Linked DNA regions of Stegostoma tigrinum. The protein of the gene in region 2 interacts with the protein of the main gene of each other region in a pairwise test. Links are inferred from orthologs where the notes say so. Each region holds a gene or a part of one and is shown on either strand. Other genes may lie near its edges.

Region 1 (7,963 bases), on a different chromosome or scaffold from region 2:
GCAGAGGTTCTGTCCTTCACTGAGAGTTAACCAATTGCATCAGGAGGGTGAATGAGGTTTTTAAGACTTGCCTCAGTGTTGCCTGCTCAGTAGACAGAGGCTTTTGCTGAAAAGGCAGAAAGCAAGGACCCTCTTGTGGCCTGGTGGTACTGTCCCGACCCAGGAATGGGAGGCCCAAGTTCAAGCCCCCACCTGCTCCAGAGGTGATCAATAACATCTCCAAAACAGTATGATTGGAAAAATGTTTTTTTAAAAACAAACTGCAGACTCAGGGCCCTCTTATGGCGCTGAGGCAGTGTCTCTATCCCTGGGCCAGGAAGCCCAGGTTCAAGTCCCAACTGCTCCAGAGGTGCACAATAGGTTGATTAGAAAAAAAAGGTAAAATTGAAACAACAGTCTCAGGTACACGATAACAAGGTGTAGAGCTGGATGAATTAAGCAGGCCAAGCAGCATCAGAGGAGTAGGAAAGCTGATGTTTCGGGCCTATGGGCAGGATTGGGGCTCGAGTGTGGTCGTCATCAGCCCTGGCAGTAACAACCAGGGTCCCCATGTGAAGGCAGCTGACTTGGATGGTTCGGGTAGCAACAGCAGAACCCCATCTAGCATCAGTAAGGAGAGGGGTAGATAACAAGCATGGTTTTTTTATAAAGAAGAAACGAGCACATTAACCCAGAGGAAATGCAGAACCAGAATGGTGCAGTGTCACAAGCCACTCACACCCCAAACAGTTCCAAAAGTCTCAACAACAATCCACCTGGACAAGTCTCTGCCAGGACCAAAACTGCACAGTGTGGGTCAGAAAACTAACAGCAGCCCCGGTCATTGTGGGCTGTTCCAGCCAACACTTAGTTCTGTGTCTGACATTGGCCCAGAGCCCCTCCATCCCTGGAAAGTCAGTGAGCTCCAGCAGCAGGAGAGGGGCTGGTGGGGTGAAGAATGAGAGAGTAGGGAGACAGCAATCCCTCCTTTTTCCCCTCTCAGGGTCCTGTTCTCTCTTCCATACCAACTGGCATTGCAAACACCAGCTCCTGTCACATCTCACCCAACCCACCCCCCACCAAACCAGCTTCCCCCAGCAGCAACATTCACCTTATTCAGAGCACAAACACACAGACAGCATTACATCGGCTGAGTTAAAACCTTCACTGCAGAGATCAGAAGACAGAAGCCATTCCAGTTACTCTGACACATCGCTCACTCAGAGCTGGCAGTAAAACCCCTGTTAATGGAGTTTAAAATACACCACTGTTTGGAAGAGATTGAGTAGATAGTGATACACACCTTTTAAACCTACTTCAATACATCATTTTTACCAGTACTTTTATTTAAAAAGGGGACAAGCACAATAGGGCTGATTGAGGCAGATACAAGGGGTTGGTGGACCATACGGGCTATACTAATCCAGGGGCATAATTATTTCCCCTGCTCTACCTCACCGACCCCCAACACACCGAGCAAAACAGAAAGGTGGGGAGATGAAAGGAAATAAACCACGTGAAATCTCCAGCGATATCTAACACAGAGCCAACCCTAAAGCGTGAAGGGGACCCAGAGAATTCGATCAATGCTTGGATTTGGGAGCCTCTGTCAGTCTCCCTGTACCCGGGGAACGGGGGGGGGGGGGGGCGCAATAACACTGATTAAAGCGGGGGGGGGGGCAAGATACTTTTATCCTTCTCCCCCCCCCCACACCCTCAGCCCTTAATAACTCAACCTATTATGTTTAATATACAAGTTTGATTTATAAAGGGGGGGCGCGGATCTCACAGTGATTTTGGGAAGCAAGAGACCCCCCCCCTTTGGTTGAAACAGCTACTTTATTAATAATAAAGTAAAAGGCGGGGTGGGGGGGGGGGGTACGGCTGCAACACACGGGAAACAGAAGTTGGGGGGGGGGGAAGAAGAGAGAGAAAGCAGAGAGCACTATTAACGCGTCCTAGCTCTGAGCAAGGGACGCGGGTGTGATCGTCAGCACAATCTGCCGCCTAACCGAGAAGCTTGCTTAGCTACTGCTTCCAGCTTTCCAACACACTGCAATGCAGTTCTGAAACTGTACCCTCCCCTCCCCTCCCCTCCCCCCTCCCCACCTTCCCTTTTACACAACAACAAAAAAATAACGTAACTCCAACTGTCCCAGCAGCTCCAGAATCCCATTTAACCTGGAGGTAGCCTATTTCCATGTGCGTTTGTGCAATACCCCAGATTAATACACCGGGGTCGGGGAGGGGTCCCAAAACATTGCACGGCGTAGAACAAAACAGAAAAACCACACATACAGTCGGGAACCTACCTTTGACCTGGGTCTCATATTCCGTGGTGATCTCTTTGTCCTTTTTGAATTTTGCTTGAGATGACATCCTGTCCGCCGGCCCCAGTTCGCAGCACCAGCTCCTCTCGTCAGTCCCGGGGGTTGTTCAACTCTTTCCCCTCACTCACTCGATTACAGCTTCAGGAGCTGTGTGTGTGATAGAGAGAGAGAGATCTGGGAATCTCCCCAAGTCACACTCTGTGTCAGGTTCACGCTTTGAAATCGCTTGAAAATAAAATAACCCTCCTCCTCCTCCCCCTACTGGCCTGTTTTTTTTGGGGGGTGGGGTGGAAATAGAGACCAGAGATAGGTGCAAACGCTGCTCCTTTTCCTGAATCGCTCAGCTTATTTACTCAGTTCCATTGTGAGGGGTTCTCTTTGAAAACCGATACAGAGAAGGGGAGAGGATATAGTTGTAAAGGCGAAGGTTCCAGCTCAGAAAATGCAGGCAGCGACTCCGAGTCTGTGGTGTGCTGCTGGGGTAGTGAAAGGAAAGACTGGGTAGGCGGGGAGGGGGGGGATGGGATGGGATGGGATGGGAGGGGGTGAGGTGAAACTGTGGTGGGATAGGCAGCCTGAACTGGGAGCACTTCCTCACTGGCTCGCCCTGTGTCCGGCTCCCCTGCAATTTCTCATCCTGCTTCAGCCTCCCAAATCTTGCAAGCTGCAGCTCAAATCTGGAGCAGAGGAGCGAACTGCATTTGAGGGAAGGTGGGTGAGAGGGAGAGTGGAAAAAAATGTCTGAATCTTGACTGCAGGAACAGTCACGTCAAGTGCTCCTCCCACCCCCTCCGATGCACATCAGAGGGAGGGGACATATCGTATCCTACAGGACACTCTCCGAATTGCATGGGGTTCGTGTATCCTTATATCGCAAGTGGTTCGCACCATCCCCACCCAAGAGCTGCCCCCAACTTTGCTCTTTTTTTTCAGTGCAGCAGTCCTGACCATCTTTCCTGTTTCCTGCTGGGCCTTCTTAGTCTTTGCCTTTTTTTTTGATTCGGCTGTGTGCCGACTCCGCTCAAAACTTAAGCCCTGCGCTTACCTGCTGTGAAACCCGGGCGCAGCAACTTTGGGGCTGTGTTCACTGGGACACACTGAGGCTGTTGGCCGGGGTAGGATGGGCAGCCTCCCGCACACTGTCTAACAATCGGCAGCACACGCAGTGGTGGAGTGAGATTTGCTGTGATATAAATAATAACAAATCAAACTATTTCCATTGTATAACGCAGGATTGCCCTCTTACTCCCCGCGCCTTCATAAATCCCTTGCCTTCTCAATCAGCTGTTCATGGTCCTGAGGCCTCCCTTCTGAGCTGCCTCTCTATTTCCCTCCCCACATGCTTTACCTCCTCACTTCTTTACCTCCCTTTCCTACCCACCCATCCCTTTTTTCCTGGCCCACCTGCTATCCAGTTTAATTAATTTCAAGGGACATGGACATCACTGGTTGGGCCAGGATTTACTGCCCGTCCCTAGTTCCTCCTTGAGAAGGTGGCGGTGAGTTGCCTTCTTGAACCGCTGCAGTCTGTGAGCTGTAAGTAGACCACGAAGTCCTTAGGGAGGGAATTCCAGGAATTTGACCCAGTGACAGTGAAGGAATGGCGATATATTTCCAAAGCAGGATGGTGAGTGGCTTGGAGGGGAACTTGAAGGTGGTGTGTTCCCATGTGCCTGCTTCCTTTGTCCTTCTAGATGGCAGAGGTCATGGTTTGGAAGGTGCTGCCTGAGGATCTTTAGTGAATTTCTGCAGTGCATCTTTTAGACGGTACACACTGCTGCTACTGAGTGTTGGTGGAGGAGGGAGTGGATGCTTGTGGATGTGGTGCCAATCAAGCAGGCTGCTTTGACCTGGATGGTGTTAAGCTTCTTGAGTGTTGTTGGGGCTGCACCCATCCAGGTGAGTGGGGAGTATTCCATCACACTCTGAACTGTGCCTTGTAGATGGTGGGACAGGCTTTGAGGAGTCAGGAGGTGAGTTACTCCATGCAGCATTCTTAGCCTCTGACCTGCTCCTATATATTGATATGGCTGATCCAGTTGACTTTCTGGTCAATGGTGCCCTCCTGGATGTTGATAGTGGGAGATTCCGTGATGATAATAGCAATTAATAACAAGGAATGGTCATTAGAGTCTTTGCTGCAGTTGGTCATTGCCTGGCATTTGTGTGGTGCTAATGTTACATTTCATTTGTCAACCCAAACCTGAACACCTCTTCTTCCCTTAATCCCCCATTGTACTGTCTTCAACACCTATACCTGGTATAGCTCCTTGCCCCTTTATCTCTCATTTTACAATCTGCTCTACCTCCTTGCCACGTCATGTGCTGTATTTGTATGGAGCTAGCTGGGCAGTGAAGCAGCTGGAGGTGTTATTGCCCAGGTTAGTGCCCATGCCAGGGATAAGAAGATGACAACTGGAATGCCAACAATCTTCTTGAAGTTATGCACAGTGGTTAATTTTCCCCAAGGCACCTCCTCTTTTATATTAACATTGTGGCAAAAGAGAGTGTTGTCCCACTCCTGATTTTCTTCAGTATTATTTCTGGGCATTGGCTAAATGTTGAAACAGGTTGGGCCTGTATTCATTGGAGTTTCACAGAATGAAAGGTGATCCTGTTGAAACATATAAGATGCTGAGGTGGACTTCACAGGGTAGATACTGAAAAGATATCACCCCTTGAGGGAGAAATTAGAACAAAAGGCACAGTTCAAAATCATGGAGTCCCCATTTTGAGATGGAGATGATTTTTTTTCTTTCTCAGGAGGTTGTGAATCTGTCAAACTCTCTTTCCCGGAGAAAATGGAGGGTGGCTTATTGAATATTTTCAAGGCTGCTTGATGGACCCCTGACTAACCCAGATGTCATTGCTGAGTCTGAAATGTAAGCTTGGTCAACCATGCTCCTTTCAAATGGTACAGGATGTCCAAGGAGTCAAGGGGTCCTAGCCCTGTCCTAATGTGTACCTTGGTCCTTATTCCAGCCTGTTTACCTGTCCTTTTCTATTAATCTGGTTGCCCAATCCATTTTCGCCAATGGCCATCCTACCTCCTCCTACCAACCTTCCATATTGCTTTGAAAGCTTCCCTTGTGCCCTCCTGATCCCTGCCAGTGTCCCTACTGCAATATCATTCTTCCCCGTGCCCTCTTCCCATTGTCCCATGGTGACTGAATATCCCGTCCTCTGCCCTTTGGATTGGTATATTTCCTGACTATAATTTACAGGTAAGTACATCACATCGATCATATCTGATGCTGTTTCTGTTCATGTTTGTCTGGAATTTTCCAATCCGTATCTAATTGGTCCTCATTGATTTGTGAGATGTACTGTGTCTCATGTTTATTCTCCGCAGCTTTCAACACGTATGTGTGGAATTCCCCCCCCCCCCCCGCCGTTAGTGTGGGGGCGATAATTGCTGCAAACTGTTGTGTAGGGCATTCACTGAAGTCTTGAGGAACGTTACTAATTTTTGTGGCAAGAATTTGATTAGTTACTGAGTTCAGACCAATTTAATTAATTGGAAGCCTAAATTCAGTTCCTTCAAATTACTAATTAAGTGACTCATGAGTGGAATTGTTGTGTGAGATATGTCTTATCAAACCTTGCCATCTGTAAATGCCTCTTTGAAATCAGATGGATGAGACATTCCATCATGAAAACCTTAATTGTTCCAAACAGTGGATAGTTGTCGAATAGTTATTTGGGTTCAAAGATGACTGCTACAAAAGTCATGGAGTCATACAGCACAGAAACAGACCCTTCAGTCCAAACAGAGATAATAGGATCTGCAGATGCTGGAGAATCCAAGATACCAAAATGTGGGGCTGGGTGAACACAGCCCAGCTCAGCTTGTCCCTGCCTGCCTAACCTGTTCTTCCTCTCACCTATCCCCTCCTCCCACCTCAAGCTGCACCTCCATTTCCTACCTACTAAACTCATCCCGCCCCCTTGAACTGTCCGTCCTCCCCAAACTGACCTATCCCCTCCCTACCTCCCCACCCATACTCTCCTCTGCACCTATCTTCTCCTCTATCTATCTTCAGTCTGCCTCCCACTCTCTCCCTATTTATTTCAGAAACCTCTCCCCATCCCCTTTTCTGATGAAGGGTCTAGGCCCGAAACGTCAGCTTTTGTGCTCCTAAGATGCTGCTTGGCCTGCTGTGTTCACCCAGCCCTACACTTTGTTACCTTCAGTCCAACCAGTCCATGCCCACCATAATCCCAAACTAAACTAGCCCCACATGCCTGTGCTTGGCCCATATCCCTCCAAACATGTCCCATTCATACACTTCTCTTAATACCTTTTAAACATTGTAAATGTATCTGCATCCACCACTTCCTCTGGAAAATCATTCCACACATGAACCATCCTCTGTGTAAAAAGCAAAACCTCTCGTGTTGTTTTTAAATCTTTCTCCTCTCGCCTTATAAACATGCCCCCTAGACTTGAAATCCCCCAGCCTAGGGAAAAGACACCTGCCACTCACCTTATCAATACCCCTCATGATTTTATAAACCTCTATAAAGTCAGGGGCAGCACAGTGGCTCAGTGGTTAGCACTGCTGCCTCACAGCGCCAGGGACCCGGGTTCGATTCCTGCCTCGGGCGACTGTGTGGAGTTTGCACATTCTCCCCGTGTCTGCATGGGTTTCCTCCGGGTGCTCCGGTTTCCTCCCACAGTCCAAAGATGTGCCGGTTAGGTGGATTAGCCATGCTAAATTGCTGTAGTGTTCAGGGGTGTGTGTGTTATAGGGGAATGGGTCTTGGTGGGATGCTTCAAGGGGCGGTGTGGACTTGTTGGGCCGAAGGGCCTGTTTCCACACTGCAGGGAATCTAATCTAATCTTTAAAAAAACGCTCTCAACCTCCTGTGTGCCAGTGAAACAAGTCCCAGCCTCTCTTTAAAATCCAAGCACCACCCCCCCCACCTTGATTCCGGCAACATCCTGGTAAATCTCTTCAGAACCCTCTCTGGCATAATCCTTCATACAACAGGGAGACCAGAACTAGACACAATATTCTCGAAGAGGCCTTACCTGTATAATCTCAGCATAACGCCCCAATAAGTCCGGTGTGTAATCTGTAGATTCCGCAAAGTGCTGGAGGGCTGGGTTGTTGGGTTGTTTGGACATTTGTTCACACTTTTCATCCCTTGACTTTTGCCTCTCTGTTTTCCTGACCAAGTCTCTTGATGTGTTTGGTGCCTGCCAACTTAGGCCTTCTCCAGTTGGTCATCACAAGCGGGGATTCACGCAAGTCATTCGCTAGGTATGTCTGACACTTTCAAGGGTGCTTTGAGGACATCTCTGACGAATTTCCACTGTCTTCCTCATAGTGTCCTGCTGAGACTGGGTTCCAGGTAGAGGAGTTGCTTCAGGAACCTGGAGTCGGGTTATGAATGATGTGTCCCACCCATGAAACTTGAATTTGAGTAATTAAAGCCTTGATACTGGGAAAATTGATATGGTAGGGAGATCCTACGGTTGGACTACCGTTCCTGCTGCTGAAGTTCTTGCTAAAATCTTGCAAAGGCATCAGTGGTGACATTTCTCCAGTCTCTTGATGTACCTAATGTGAGTTGTTCAAATCTGCAAAGCATCTGGTCTCACCGTTAAAGGAAAGATGTTGTTAAACTTGAAAGGGTTCATCAAAGAT
Region 2 (7,406 bases):
TGCTGGTTTCAGAGCCACAGGCCGTTGATTGTTTTAGGGGGAGATCTTGTCAATTTTTGCTGTAATTTCCACGCAAAACACCTTACTGATTTGGAAGGGCAGGCACGAACTCGCTCCCAGACAAAACAGATCGAGATTCCCGCTCCATTTTCATGCGCTCAAGACAAGCTGGAACCAAACTCAGCAGCTCCAACCATGTAAGATAGTGACCATGTAATATTCACATTCCAAGCCAGAGGGGCCAACATCAGACCTCGGATAGCATTCAGTGACGACTGGCTTCTTTCAATCACACTCGCAAGCTGTGGAAATCAGCGCGGGCCGGCCCCACAGTCAGCCTCACCCCAATGCTATCCAACCTACTTTACTCACGTGTGGGCAGTCTGTTTTCACCTAACACCGCTACAACACAACCAACGACACAGACAGAGGCCGTTCAGCCCGACCTGGCGGTGTTGACAATTGCTCCCTCCGTCCCCATATGAGGAAGTGGTTCCAGTCACATTTACACACGCCCATTTCCCCCACCCAACTCAATTCGGAATACCTGAGCCGCTAAACTCAAAATACTAACCCTCGGGTGGGGGATGGCAACAACTTTGTGCATTTACATAGCACCTTTCATGTATTTAAATGTTCCACGGTGCTTGTCATTAAATAGATTGTGGCACTCAGCTGCATAGGGAGATGTTGGGACATACGGCCTAAAGCTTGGTCGAAGACATTGGCCTTAATGATTGGCTTACAGCTCTCGTCTCCCAGTCCCCCTTTCAGGAGTGGATTCCAGAACTTAAGAGTTCAGGCTGTAAACAGAAGTTTCCTTAATGGTGAGATTAAAATCCTCAGGGGGCAAATATTGGAAGGCAGCAGCGATCTCGGAGGGTTGTACTGAGCTTTCAGAGCGGCGAGACGGTGGAGAGAGATGAAAACAAAGATCTCTCCTTTTGGCAGAGAGTGACAGCTCTGCTGAAAGACTTCACAAATTCCTGCTGTCAGTTTGCCAAACTGGTAGTGAATGGAGGGAAGTAGCGCTTTGTTGGGTTAACCTGTGCTTCTTTTGCACTGGCTTTCTCACTTGCCTCAATAAACCACACAAACAGAAACTGGGAGAGAGGGCACTGAACCTGAAATCTCGATTTCTTCCCCCCCCTCCCCCACCAACATGCGCCCTGACACGACAATATCTTTGAAAATGCCAAAAGCAGAATTGTTCAGACATGCTATAGCAAATCAAGAGATAATTAGCCAGAAAGCTCCTTCAGTGCCTCGGAACAAAGCCCCTACACTACACTCCGAAGTGGCTCCACAACAGATGTTTATGATAATCATGCACACTAAACAATGGAAATATCACCATTATCAAATTCCACAACGATCAGCTCCCTCCCCACTCAAGTTCCCCTTCCCACACTCTTCCCCATCCTAATTCTAACCGCCCCCCCCCTCCAACACCAACTACCCCATTCCCTTCCTTGCAGTCTCCCTCTCCATCTCTTCCCGGTCTTTTCTCGTGTCTTTCTCAACCAGACACCGCTATGCAGGGCTACCATGCACAATAATCAGGGTCATTACAGATCGTTTAAAATGTTCACGAATCTCTCTCTTCTTCTGACCAGATGGCCAAAACTGAAATGTCCCAAGTTTCGACAGGCTATTTTAGGCTCACAAACAGTAGTGATTTTTTTGTTTGGTATCCAAACGATTCCTTCCCTTCGAAGCATTATGTTAGTGAACGCCTGTCGCTGATGACAGCTCCTATTGCCGTAGCCATTAAACCATTCAGGGTCTTGTGCATGGGATCCAGACAGAGGTGGAATCTCTCATCCGCTAGCTTTCCCTTCAGGACCCTTTGACCACCACCTCCCTAACAGCAAACACATTTTGTGTAGGCTGAATGAAACAGCACGATACCCCTGGCCCAAGCTTCTCTTCCTTTATCCAGTTGTATTTTATTTTCCTCTCTATGTTATTATAAAAGCTGAGGCTGCCCCGTACCTGGTCTCTGACCAGCAATCTCAATTTCGCGAAATGCTTGAAAATAAGCAACAATTCACTTTCTGCAGAGAAAATTGAAGGAAGCTCTCCAACCGGAGGCTTTACAAACGCATGTTATGAAACATCGTCTCGGTTTGGGAGCGCCCACAAACACACAAGGTAACAAATGCCTTCAAATTGAAACAATTCACTGCGGGAATGAGGGAGGGTGGTGTTGGACGGCGCGGGGGGTGGGGGGGGGAGGAGGTGTAGTCGATGAATGAAAAAAATCTAAACAGGTTCCATTTCACCCCATTCATTGTGACATTGGCGTACAGTGAGCTTAATGGAATGATGAGCTTAACACGTTACACATAAACACAAGCAACTCGGTTTAGACGTGTTATTTATCCTTCCTGCCAATTTGCTACAATTTTGAGACAGGACAGGAAATGTAGATTGTAACATCGCACATCTTTGTGACACACAACTGCTACATTGGTGTGTTGGAGATTGTGACAGTGCTACAGAGGGAACAATGTATCTCCCGGAAGAAAGCAAAATCTGGCACGAGGAGAGCTCTGATCTGGGTTACTCACCCTCAGAGCCGAGAGGTCGATTTCATCCAAGCTTCGCGCTGGAGAGTCGCTCGCCATGTTAATTTCACCCGAAAACTGACACAGCCCGGAGCTTAGTCTTGTCTCTCTCCCACTCTCTCTCGTCACTGCTTTTGTAACGATTTAAAACATATCCTTCCGCTCAATGACACACAATCAATAAGACAGGTCTTTTACATGTGAAAAGAATAACGGCGGGGGGGTTCGGTTTTAATTTGTCCTAATTTCTGGTTACACCACAGGAGACAGGGAGTTAAATTACTGCAGTCCTATTCTGTGAAGGGTCCTGTTCAGAACAACTGCTCTCTGCAAAGCGCCCACACAATATATAGCACACACACACACACACACACACATAGCAGGGCTCTGCAGAATCTGTCAATCACAGCATCCGGGGAGGAGACAAACAGCAACACGCGTATCCTTCACCAGCGAGAAACTGCTTCGCTTTCAAGCAACTGCAAACAATCTTCAAGAGCACGTTGTCGCTGAGAGAGGACAAGCAGGCAAGACACAGTAACGAAAGCATGGCAGCCTCCTTCCTTAAAAGAATCTGTACTGAGGATCTTGTGCAACACCCCTACCCCAACCACAAACCACCACTACTATCACTTGAAATGTCATGTTCCTGAAACACTTCACCCATCTGTCGCCGAGGGGAGGGTTAAATTCTGGGAGTAGGTTGCACGAGCAGGTTTGCAATTCCCTTCGGCGCTTGAGCGGCGTGTGAGGTTATCAGTGGCAGACAGGAAACGTGAAGCTGAGAATGCGGTGAGCCATAATCTTATTCAATGGCAGAATTGGAATTGGGGTGGCCTGAGGGACGGCTATGCTCCCGATTCCTATGTTCAGACCACGGCCTTTGCGTTTTGATACAAATGAGTGGTCAGACCGTTCCAAGAAGCAGTTAGGAGTCAGCCACATTGGTATGAGTCTGGAGTTACATGTGGGGCAGATCTGGTGAGGATGGCAGATTTCCTTCCCTAAAGTACTTTAATAAGCCAGATGGGATTTTATGACAATCAATGAACATTGCCGTGGTATCATTACTGAGTCTAGTGTTATGTTCAGTGTTTTTAAATTACATTTAACTTTCACTAGTTATCATGATGAGATGTAACCCTGTGTCCTCAATAGCTTAGGCATCTGCAAGTTGCATACTTCATCCTGAATTGGAACAATTTCCTTGTTCCTTAAGAGTGGTAGGGTCAAAACCTTGTAACTTGTTTCCCAACTGCATTCTAGCTGTCATCGCACCAAATGGACTGCCAGAATGTGGCTCAATACCACCTTCTCAAATGTGTAATGAATGCTGATCCAGACAACGACACTCACATCCTGTGAAAGAATTATGTGAGATGTTTAAGAAGATAAAAAAAAGTTAGAGTAAACCTATAACTTAGCTGCCCACATCTAATTCACACCAAGTAACAATGCTCACAATTATATTGCCTTGATTTACATTAGCAATATCTCAATTACAAATGCTTATTCTTGTGGTAAATCTGTCCATTGCCTCAACCCAACATATTCCAGTAATATCCTTAATTACAATTATCTCTGCCCTCCTCCAATCCTGGCTTTCTGTACAACCCCGTAGATTATGCTCTACCATTGACAGCTGTGCTTTCAGGTGCCCAGGATAGGGCAGACAGTGGACTAGTGGTATTATTAGGGGTCTGTCAATCAGAGACTCGGGTAATGGTCAGGGGACCTAAGTTCAAGTCCTGCCTGGTAGAGGATGTAATTTGAATTCAACAAAAAGTAGTTCTGGAATTAGGAGTTGATTGATGATTATGACAGCAATGTGGTTGGCCCTTAACTGCCCTCTGAGATGGGCAATAAATGCCAGCCTAGCCTGCCACACCCTCATCCCTTGAATGAATTATTAAAAAGCTGTAATCTCTGCAATTCTCTCCTGGACTTATTTTCCCCTTAAAACCTAATCTTTGATCAAGCTTTTGCATTTTAGGAAATCCTTGGCATTCTTGTGAAGCATGTTAGGATGTTCAACCAAACTAAAAATGCAAACATTGTTGCATGTTTTAATTAACATGTATATAGTCATATGAAGTTTTGGATCAGATGCAATATAAACCTGTAGTGTGTAACATCAATAGTCAATCATATTCAATCCTTTTCTTATACAGTACCGTTAGAAATTTGTTTGCCTGCATTTACATTGGAACTTGCCTCTGTAAATGCCTAAGTCCCTTTTAAATCTTTCCTCTCTCACCTTAAACCCATGCCCTCTAATTTTGGACTACCCCACTCAAGGAAAAAGACCTTAGCAATTCAGCTGATCCAGACTCCTCATGATTTTATAAATCTCCAAAAAATCTCCGTTCAGCTTCCTGCGCTGTAGGGAAGATAGCCCCAGTCTGTTTAGCTTCTCCCTGTAGCTGAAATCTTCTAACCCTGACAACAGCTTTGAAAATCTTTTCTGAACCCTTTCAAGTTTAACAACATCTTTCCTGTAGCAGGGAGACAAGAATTGAACGTAGTATTCCTAACAAATTTCATGTGCAGCTGCAACATGACATCCCAACTCAATACACTGACTAATAAGGGCAAGTGTACCAAACGCCTTCTTCACTACTCTGGCCACCTGTTACTCCACTTTCAAAGAACTATGAGCCTGCACCTAAGGTCTCTTTGTTCGGCAACCCTGTCCAGGACCCTACCATTAACTGTATAAGTCCTGCTCTGATTTGCCTGACCAAAATGCAACACCTCACACATCTAAATTTAATTCCATCTGCCACTCCTCCCCCCATCTGGTCAAGGTCCCATACTCTGAGATAACCTTCTTCACTACCCACTACACCACCAATATTGGCATCATCTGCAAACCTACTGACCATACCTCCTACATTTACATCTAAATCATTTATAAAAACAACAAAAATTAGTGACCCAGCACTGATCCTTATATCACACCATTGGTCACAGACCTCCAGTCCTCCTCTCTCTGTCTTCTACCTTCAAGCCAATTTTATATCCAAATGCCTAGCACCCCCAGATTCCATGTGATCTTAACATACTAACCAGCCAGCCATGCAGGACCTGTTGAACACCTTTCTCAATTCCATATAGCCAACATCCACTGCTCTGCCTTCATCAATCTTCTTTGTCGCTTCTTCAAAAAAAAGCTCAACCTAGTTAATGAGACATGACATCTCACACACAAAGTCATTTTGACTATCCCTAATCAGTCCTTGCCTTTCCAAATACATGTAAATCCTGTCCCTCACAATCTCTTCCAACAACTTACCCACCACTGATGTCAGGCTCACTGATCTATAGTTGTATGGCATTTCTTTGCCACCTTTCTTAAATAGTGGTGCTATGTTAGCCAACCTCCAGTCTTTCAGCACCTCACCAGTGGCTATCAGTGATGCAAATAGCTTAGGCAAAGGCGCAGCAATCACTTCCAATACTTCCCACGAGGTTCTGGGAAGCACATGATCATGTCCAAGCACTTTATCCATCTTTATGAGCTTTACGATGTCCAGCACCTCCTCTTCTGTAATATGGACGCCTTTCAAGATATCACTGTATATTTCTGCAAGTTCTCTAGGTTTGATAATCTTCTCCAAAGTAAAACCTGATGCAAAATACTCTTTTAGTATCTCACCCATCTCCTGTGGTTCCACACATAGATGGTCTTGTTGATCTTCAAGGGGCCCTATTGTCTCCCTGGTTACTCTTTTGCCCTTAATGCATTTGTAGAATATCTTTGGATTCTCCTCAACTCTTCTTGCTAAAACCATCTCATGTCCCTTTTTGCCCCACTGGTTTCCCTCTTGAGTATGCTCCTACTGCCTTTATACTCCACTAGGGATTTGTTTTATCCCACCTTATATCTAAACATGCCTCTTTTTTCTTGACCGGAGCTTCAAATTGCCTAGTCAAACAGAATTGATGACATGTCTATCCTGGGCCTCCTGCAGTGCCACAATGATGCCACCCGAAGGTTGCAGGAACAGCAACTCACATTCCGCTTGGGAACCCTGCAGCCCAATGGTATCAATGTGGACTTCACAAGCTTCAAAATCTCCCCTTCCCCCACTGCATCACAAAACCTGCCCAGCTCGTCCCCACCTCCCTAACCTGTTTTTCCTCACACCCATCCCCTCCTCCCACCTCAAGCCGCACCTCCATTTCCAACCTACTAACTTCATCCCCCCCTCCTTGACCTGTCCGTCCTCCCCAAACTGACCTATCCCCTCCCCACCTATACACTCCTCTCCACCTATCTTCTCCTCTAACCATCTTCAGTCCGCCTCCCCCTCTCTCCCAATTTATTTCACAATCCTCTCCACATCCCCATCTCTGATGAAGGGTCTAGGCCCGAAACGTCAGCTTTTGTGCTCCTGAGATACTGCTTGGCCTGCTGTGTTCATCCAGTTCCACACTTTGTTATCTTGCCTGCACATACCAGCCTTGCCCTTCATACTAACAGGAACATACAGACTCTGAACTCTCATTATCCCATTTTGAAGGCCTCTCCAGTTTATTCAAGGTGAATAGCAGGCGTGGGAAATATGGAAGTCAATCAAAGATGACATTTGTGTACTTGTAAGAGATGGCCTCCATTCAGGAGATCAAAATGCAGAATCAGTTTGGATAGAAATGAAGAATGTTAGGGGGAGAAACGTCATTTATGCAAGTGGTCTGTAGGCCTCATAACACTAACCACAATGTGAGACAGCATATCCAGAAAGAAATATTCAGTGCTTGTGATAAAGGGATGGTAATAACCAAGGGTAATTTTAATCTAAACATAAACTGGAAAAATCACGTGTGCTGTAG
Region 3 (6,943 bases), on a different chromosome or scaffold from region 2:
ATCTCATTGAATCATGGACTGGGTTCAAAGCACTGCCCTACTCCTGTGCATCTTTTTTCATATCTGGTAAACATGAAAAGCACACTACAGAAATACTGTGATGCTTTAAAGGTCTGAGAGTCATTGAAAGATAAACATTTCTATCATGGACTCTGAAAGCTGTGTTTGAACTTCACTTTGAAATTCCACATACAGCACTTAGATACAACATCTTTATCACTCGGTCATCACAGCTGGGTAAAAGCACCCAGAACTATATTACTACCAACAGCCATATTCCGTAGAGTGTTGGTGTAATGTCACAATCTTTTTCACCCCAATTCTCACTGTGGCAGAATGTGTAGTGTTTCAGTTTGTGAAGATTCCAGCCTGTATGATATCATGGAACTTTCAGAAAGAAGCTAAATTTGAGTAGGTTATTATTATGAATGTAGTTGTGAGGGTTACCAGACCTTTAAGAGAGCTGGTCAGGTGACCCAGAGGAACAAATATTGAGTACAGTCCTGAACTGGTTGTAGAGGTGTGAGCATCATCAACAAAGTGTTCCTATTCAGATTTACCACTCATTTACCATGTGTATAATCCCTAATTCCAAAGGAAGCACCAATATAACAGATATTCAATAAGCCTTTAAAGGCTCAGAGTGAAAGGCTTCAGGAGGTTGAAAAAATGTTATATGGAGTGATCGGTGTAATTCCTTGCACTTTTCTTCATCAGACTTGTCACCTTATAAAGGCCATGACACCAGTGACTCTTGATGGGCAGAAACTTCACCAAAACTCAGGAAGGAGCTCCACCAGGGGAGGTGACTGAAGAAACTTTGCAATGATACTCCCTGTGCAAGACAGTGACAAGTGTAGTTAGCTCACTGTGGCTTGTCTCCTTTCTTGAATACAGTTGTGATAAGTGATTCTCAGAATACTTGTTATGTGCTATTTTTCCCAAATGAAGGACACAAGATTATGCAGTCATGCCAAGCGTCTCAGAATTTCAGCAAGGATTCCATCTGCCCAAGGAATTTTCATGTTCATGTTCTTTAGCTGTTGGATGGTTTTCTTTAAAAAAAAGCCTTTCAGTTCTGAAAAAGAGTCATGCCAGACTCAAAATGTTAACTGTATTTTTCTCTCTTGACACACGCTGCCATACCTGGAGAGTTTCTTGAGCATTATCTATGTTTGTTTTAAATATGTCTTCTTAGCATTTTCACAATCAGTGGCTGTAAGTATTAATGCACATGTAAGTTTGTATCCTGTGTTCCTTCCAGGCATATTCTGGTAATCATTGCCCCATTTCTAAACTGCTTTATTATCTTGTTATTTCCCTCTAATTTAAGTGAGAGGAGATGAAATGAATTGGCGTGATCATGATAATTTGCAGGGATTCCAACATTATCCCAATTAAACTGATGGACACTGAGACAATGAAAGCCATCAAAATGACTGGGGCAATGTGACCATCCTAGCTTAAGCCAACCACAGACAAGCATGGGAATTCCTAGGGGCCTGGTTTTCAACTGGTAAGGCAATCAACAAACATATGGAATTAGACCCCATACAAAAACCCATGCAGAACAGAATCAGAAATCAGACAACCCAACTTCACAGTCCTGATCATATAAATAACAAGCAGAGTAGAACAATATCACTTTATCAGAGGCCACACTGATTACTTTACCTAGCATCGTGATGAAACATCTGTATAATAACTAGCCAGCTTGGCAAGCAAGCCAACAACTTCATCCACAACCCAGGCTACAGATCTTCACAAGAGGTTAATATTGTTCCTAAGGCAGATTTCAAGGTCCCTTATGTATGTATTAAATCCCGCAGCTGATCATATGCAATATTGACACAAGCTAACACATGCATGATAAACATAAATCCAATTCGACTGGCCTGCATGAGGTAGATTGTTGATCGTAGGGCAACGAAGGATTATGTGGATAAGGTAGAAAAAGTGGAGGTGATGGATGTTGGATCAACTCTGACCCTACTGAATGGCAGCTCAGGCTCAAAGGGCCGAATGGCCTGCTCCTACTTCTTATTTATGGTCTTACTAATTGGTGATCCTGTCCTCAGAATTTAAAACAGCATTCTGGAGACCCTCCTCCCCAGATTGCACAAATATTAAAGTAAAACACAAGTATAAAAGCAATTTATCCACAGAATAAATTTAGGGTAATTCTCTGATTGATCCCATCAAAAATAGGAATGGGGATACAAAAGGCAAGAAACTAAGAACAAAAAAAAGACTGAGATAACAAAGTGTCGAACTGTATGAACACAGCAGGCCACGCAGCATCAGAGGAGCAGCAAAGTTGACGTTTCGGGTCTGAACTCTTCTTCAAAAAAAAAGACTATTCTTTTCTAATGGCTGAAATAGTTGTAAAATAATGGCACAACAAGGCTGACCAATTTTACTATCTACAACAATGTAAAACAAACTTAATTCTGTTCTACCTGATGCTGCCAGACCTGCAGGTCTTCATCAGCACTTTACTTTCGTCACTTCCCACAAGGTGGGTATTCCTTAACTGCGAATATGCGCTGGGTCTCGTATGAGCGCCCATGAGAATTTAGAATTTAATATAAGAACAAAAGCGCAAAGTGGCAGACAATCACAGGGCAATCGCACAGTGCCTACAAAAAAAATATTTTCTGCCGAGTTGCCAGCATCAATATGCAGCAGATGGAAACCATCGTTCGTGAAACTTTCAGCTGAATCAAATAAGAGTCCAGATCCATTGCACAAGGAGAACGGTGAGCAATCCCAATATCCTAACCCATTGAAATACTGATCAGCTCAGACAGCGACGCGGCTTGTTGTTGTGACCACACTTACTTTCATTGGCAGGGAATCCCTCAGGCTGTCAAAGGCACTTTACACATACAGTCTCTTTCTCTCATACTGATCTCGATGGATGAGTAATCTCCTGACAGACTCCAGAACGTCCAAGTAAAGGCTATGATAGCAATTAACACCATTAACCATTTACCTCCCCGGCTCTTCCGGTCCCCCCACCCCCACCCCCACCACCACAACCACGGCTGCCGGGGAGAATTCCGTTGCAGGAAATGGTCAAATTCACATTCCGCAGACTCGAGCTGGTCCTCGCGATAATTCGCTATTTGTGGCGCCGATGGGATTTGTAGTTCCAGGGAAATTTTCCAGACATGGCGTGGACGTTATTCCTGCCCAGGTCAGGACTACAGTTCCCAAAATGCGAAGCGCAGCGGCAGCCGAATGACGAACTTGAAGTATGGTTTCGGCTACCCAGGTCACGGTGATGTGCTGAAGGTAGCTTCACTCTCAAGGTAAGGAGAGAGGATGAAACGGTGCAATCTTCTGTAGGGAGAAGTAGTCATTCAGTTAGATATGCTTCATTCCGCGTACCTCCTCGAAAAATCATGTATGGAAATTTGAGCAACTGGTGACAATTTTCATCCACCTTCGACTTTACACGTATGGCCTCTGCAATGGATTAATAGTTGCATGAACGTGATTTAAAGAAAACCATAAAATATAGGAGCAAGATTGGGCCGTTCCGCCTAAGGAGTCGTCTTCGCCATTCTACTATGGTTGACATGTTTTTCAACCCCATTTTCCAGCCTTCCCCCTATAACCTTTGATCCCTTAACCAATCAAAAACCTATCTATTTCTGCCTAAACGCAGTCAAAAACAGCCTCCACAGCCTTCTGCGACAAGGAGGTCCACAGATTCACTATTTTCTGGCTAGAAATTTCACCATCCTCAGTTCAAACAATCATTTCTTCACTCAGAGGCTGTGCCCTTGGCTCCCGTTCTCTTCAATAGTCGAAACGTCTTCGTCATGGCCCCTCTTTCCAGGTTTGTCAGTAGCCTATAAGTTTTTCAATGAGATTCCGCCTCATTCGTCTAAATTCCATTCAGTAGAGACCCAGAGTCATAAACTGCTCCTCATAATGACAAGCCCTTCACCCCCAGGATCGTTCTTATAAACATCCTCTGATGTGGGAGGGGATCCAGCATATCCAACCTTTGATACAGGACTCAGAACTGCTTACAATATTCCAAATGCAGTCAGACCAGAGCCTGAGTGGTACATCTTGCTGTTGTATTCTAGTCCTCTTGAAATGAAAGCTAATATTTCATTGACCTTCCTAACCGCCAACTGAACCTGCATGTTAATTTTGAGAATCCTGATCTTTTACTGAAGCCGTTCCCTACTTAGAAAATAGACCACACCTCTATTCTTCCTACAAAAGTGCATAAACTCTCTTTCCCATATTCCATTCCATCTGCCACTTTGTTGTGCACTCACTTAGCCTGTCCAAGTCCTTTTGTAGTCTCCCTGCCTCCGTAACACTACTTGTACCCCCACCTATTTTTGTATCATCTGAAAACTGAGCAACAATGCCATCAGTTCCTCCTTCCAAATAATTGGAATGTATAACATGATTACTTATGGTTCCAACACTGATCCCTGTGGAGCTCCACTAGACGCTTGCTACCATCCTGAAAAAGACCTCTTTATCTCCATTCTCTGCTTCTGCCAATCACCCAATCTCTATCCAGGCCTCGAACACCACAAGCCCTTGTAGGTGAGTCTTCTGCACCGAAGGTAGGGGCTAATACCACTGCACCAAATGAGCCCCTCCATGGATGTTGTTATAAATGAATTTTCAGACCAAATTCGATAAGGTATCACCGTAATAGGTAGTTACTCATGATTAGAACACATGAGTTAATGGATAATGCATCAACATAGATTGGTTAACAGACAGAGATTAGTAAAAGCAAATCACTTTTAGAATGGCAATTTGTAACTGGTGAAATGTTTCCAAGTGTGAAGTGTTTAATATCTGTTGAATTATATTGCTTAAGAATGGGATAATTGACTCTTATCAGCCGGCTTGTTTTTTGAAGAGAATATCAATTGCTGAATGGTGAGAAGAGATGCCACTGCTGATCCTGATAGTATTGTTATGGTCTAAGACGCTGGAACAGGGAAGTGGTAACAGAATCTGGGGAAAAGAACATTTTAATTTGGTTTGTAGCATACTCCATTGGGCAAAGGAGAAAAGAGGGTCATCAATAATGATAAGCGAAAACTTTCACAAGTTCTATAATGGGGAGAAAGTGAGAAGCCATCTTCATCCAGAAGCAATGTGTGCCTGTAGAATTTTCATGAAATCTGATACATAGACATGGGAGGAAAGAAGTAAGAGGCCAAAGAGTTGCAAAATGTGGCCATTCCCCATTAATCTGTTTTGAGGCAGATGGAACTACTCGGGAGAAATTTTCATTCTTCCCATTGTGATGGTGGAGGATTGGGCAAGTTTGATTTCAGGTGTGTTGAATGAAGACCTCTCCTTCCCCCTAGCATAATGATTAGAGACAGTAATATTGAGAAACTGCGTCCTTCCAACACAGACCCAATCAGCCATGTCTTCCCAGCTTATCAATTCTGTATCTGCCTATCTATTGCTGTAATTAATAAAACAACAGTGCTTTCTCCGTGATAGTTGATACTGTCCTTGGAGGTCTCAGGAAAAGGTTGAAAATCTTTGTTATTACTGAGCCCTGTAGTGAAGACAAATCTTCGATTTGTGTAAAGGCTTCCAGTCAACAGGAAACAGAAAAATCTCCTCTGCTGAAGAATCTAACCCAATTTATCTTGTATGGTTTGATGTCCACAGTTATCATGGTCACTAAAGCATCTTTGGACGAAGACGATATTGGCTGGGGACTTGGTATCTCAGAAAAGATGGAAAAAATTAATGCAAACTGGGTTGACATTACCAAGCAATTCAAGGATTGCTGTAAAGGTAAATTTATAGATATTTTGTGCAATTTTCTTGTTGCTTATGAAGCTAGTGGAAGCATGGGTCCTTGAATATTTTTATGGCAGAGGTAGATAGATTCTTGTTAAGAAAAAGGGTGAAAGAATATCAGAAGTGGGTGGGAATGCAAATTTTGAGGTTGTGATCAGACCAGCCACAACCCTGTTGAATGACAGTGCAAGCTTGAGGGGCTGAATGGACTACATCTGCTCTTAATTCATATGTTTACTGAGAGTCTCCAAGCCACAACCCTGTTGAATGACAGTGCAGGCTTGAGGGGCTGAATGGACTACATCTGTTCTTAATTCATATGTTTACTGACAGTCTCCAAGAATCCATAAACGTAGAGTAAATATATTCTGTTTTTTTTTCCCCAACTACGGAACCTTTTCCAAATTTCTGCTTCTGTCCTTTTTAGCTCCCAAAATCTTTGTTTATTTTGGAGATCTTGGGAATGTGAGCATCACTAACATGGCACACATTAATAGTTTATTCCTAATTGACCTCCGTGATGGTGAACCACTGCAGTTCATAAATACACCCAATTGTTTTGGATTTTGACCAAACAACAGTTAAGAAATTGCAACAGTTCCATGTTAGAATGATTTGAGGTGTGGGGAGAAACTTGCTGCCCTTGTCTCTCAAGGTGATTGATAGTGGCTGTGTATCAGTTCAAGGATGATGCCTCCTTGGGGTTGTGGGTATCTCCCATGGCTTCAAGTGAATGATAGAACAGTTCACAATACACATGACTTTGGACACATGGGGCAGAAGATACCGGGAGATAGGGGGATCCAGAATGCAAGATTTGCTTCTGTTCTTTCCTTCACTGCAGCTGCTCTGTCTCCATCGATGATGTGTTTGCATCAAAGCATGATGAAGTTTGTTAGACAAGTTTTTCCATTTTAGATGATTGGCAGTAAACTCCTTCCAGTCATTAATATAAATGCCACAGCACTTGAAGGAGAGCTTCAGAGTGTCATTGAAGTGTTTCCTTTGTATTCTCCTGTAATGTTGGCCACTTGAAAGTCAGATCTGTATCTGAAGCACTGACCTTTAAGGCTATGGACTAGTTGTTTAAAAGTGAGCTTAAAATAAGAGCTTAGTTTATTCAGCAGGT

What was found. The genes of interacting proteins can lie anywhere in the genome.
Region 1: the proteins of traf2 and NCK-interacting protein kinase (region 2) and srgap3 interact in a two-hybrid assay, tested with the Homo sapiens proteins (2 studies listed by BioGRID and IntAct). The link is inferred for Stegostoma tigrinum from reciprocal best matches to the Homo sapiens genes TNIK and SRGAP3.
Region 3: the proteins of traf2 and NCK-interacting protein kinase (region 2) and agtpbp1 interact in a two-hybrid assay, tested with the Homo sapiens proteins (2 studies listed by BioGRID and IntAct). The link is inferred for Stegostoma tigrinum from reciprocal best matches to the Homo sapiens genes TNIK and AGTPBP1.

What each region holds. Positions count from the first base shown.
Region 1 is NC_081364.1:61,303,127-61,311,089, reverse strand, and holds the start of srgap3 (SLIT-ROBO Rho GTPase-activating protein 3), read right to left. Parts: upstream 3,035-7,963; 5' UTR 2,359-3,034; coding exon 2,292-2,358; intron 1-2,291. UniProt on the Homo sapiens protein: GTPase-activating protein for RAC1 and perhaps Cdc42, but not for RhoA small GTPase. May attenuate RAC1 signaling in neurons.
Region 2 is NC_081367.1:57,295,031-57,302,436, forward strand, and holds the start of traf2 and NCK-interacting protein kinase, read right to left. Parts: upstream 3,074-7,406; 5' UTR 2,631-3,073; coding exon 2,574-2,630; intron 1-2,573. UniProt on the Homo sapiens protein: Serine/threonine kinase that acts as an essential activator of the Wnt signaling pathway. Recruited to promoters of Wnt target genes and required to activate their expression. May act by phosphorylating TCF4/TCF7L2.
Region 3 is NC_081356.1:58,904,047-58,910,989, reverse strand, and holds the start of agtpbp1 (cytosolic carboxypeptidase 1), read right to left. Parts: upstream 3,035-6,943; 5' UTR 2,842-3,034; intron 1-2,841. Other genes in the region: naa35 (N-alpha-acetyltransferase 35, NatC auxiliary subunit), read left to right, coding at 5,685-5,808. UniProt on the Homo sapiens protein: Metallocarboxypeptidase that mediates protein deglutamylation of tubulin and non-tubulin target proteins.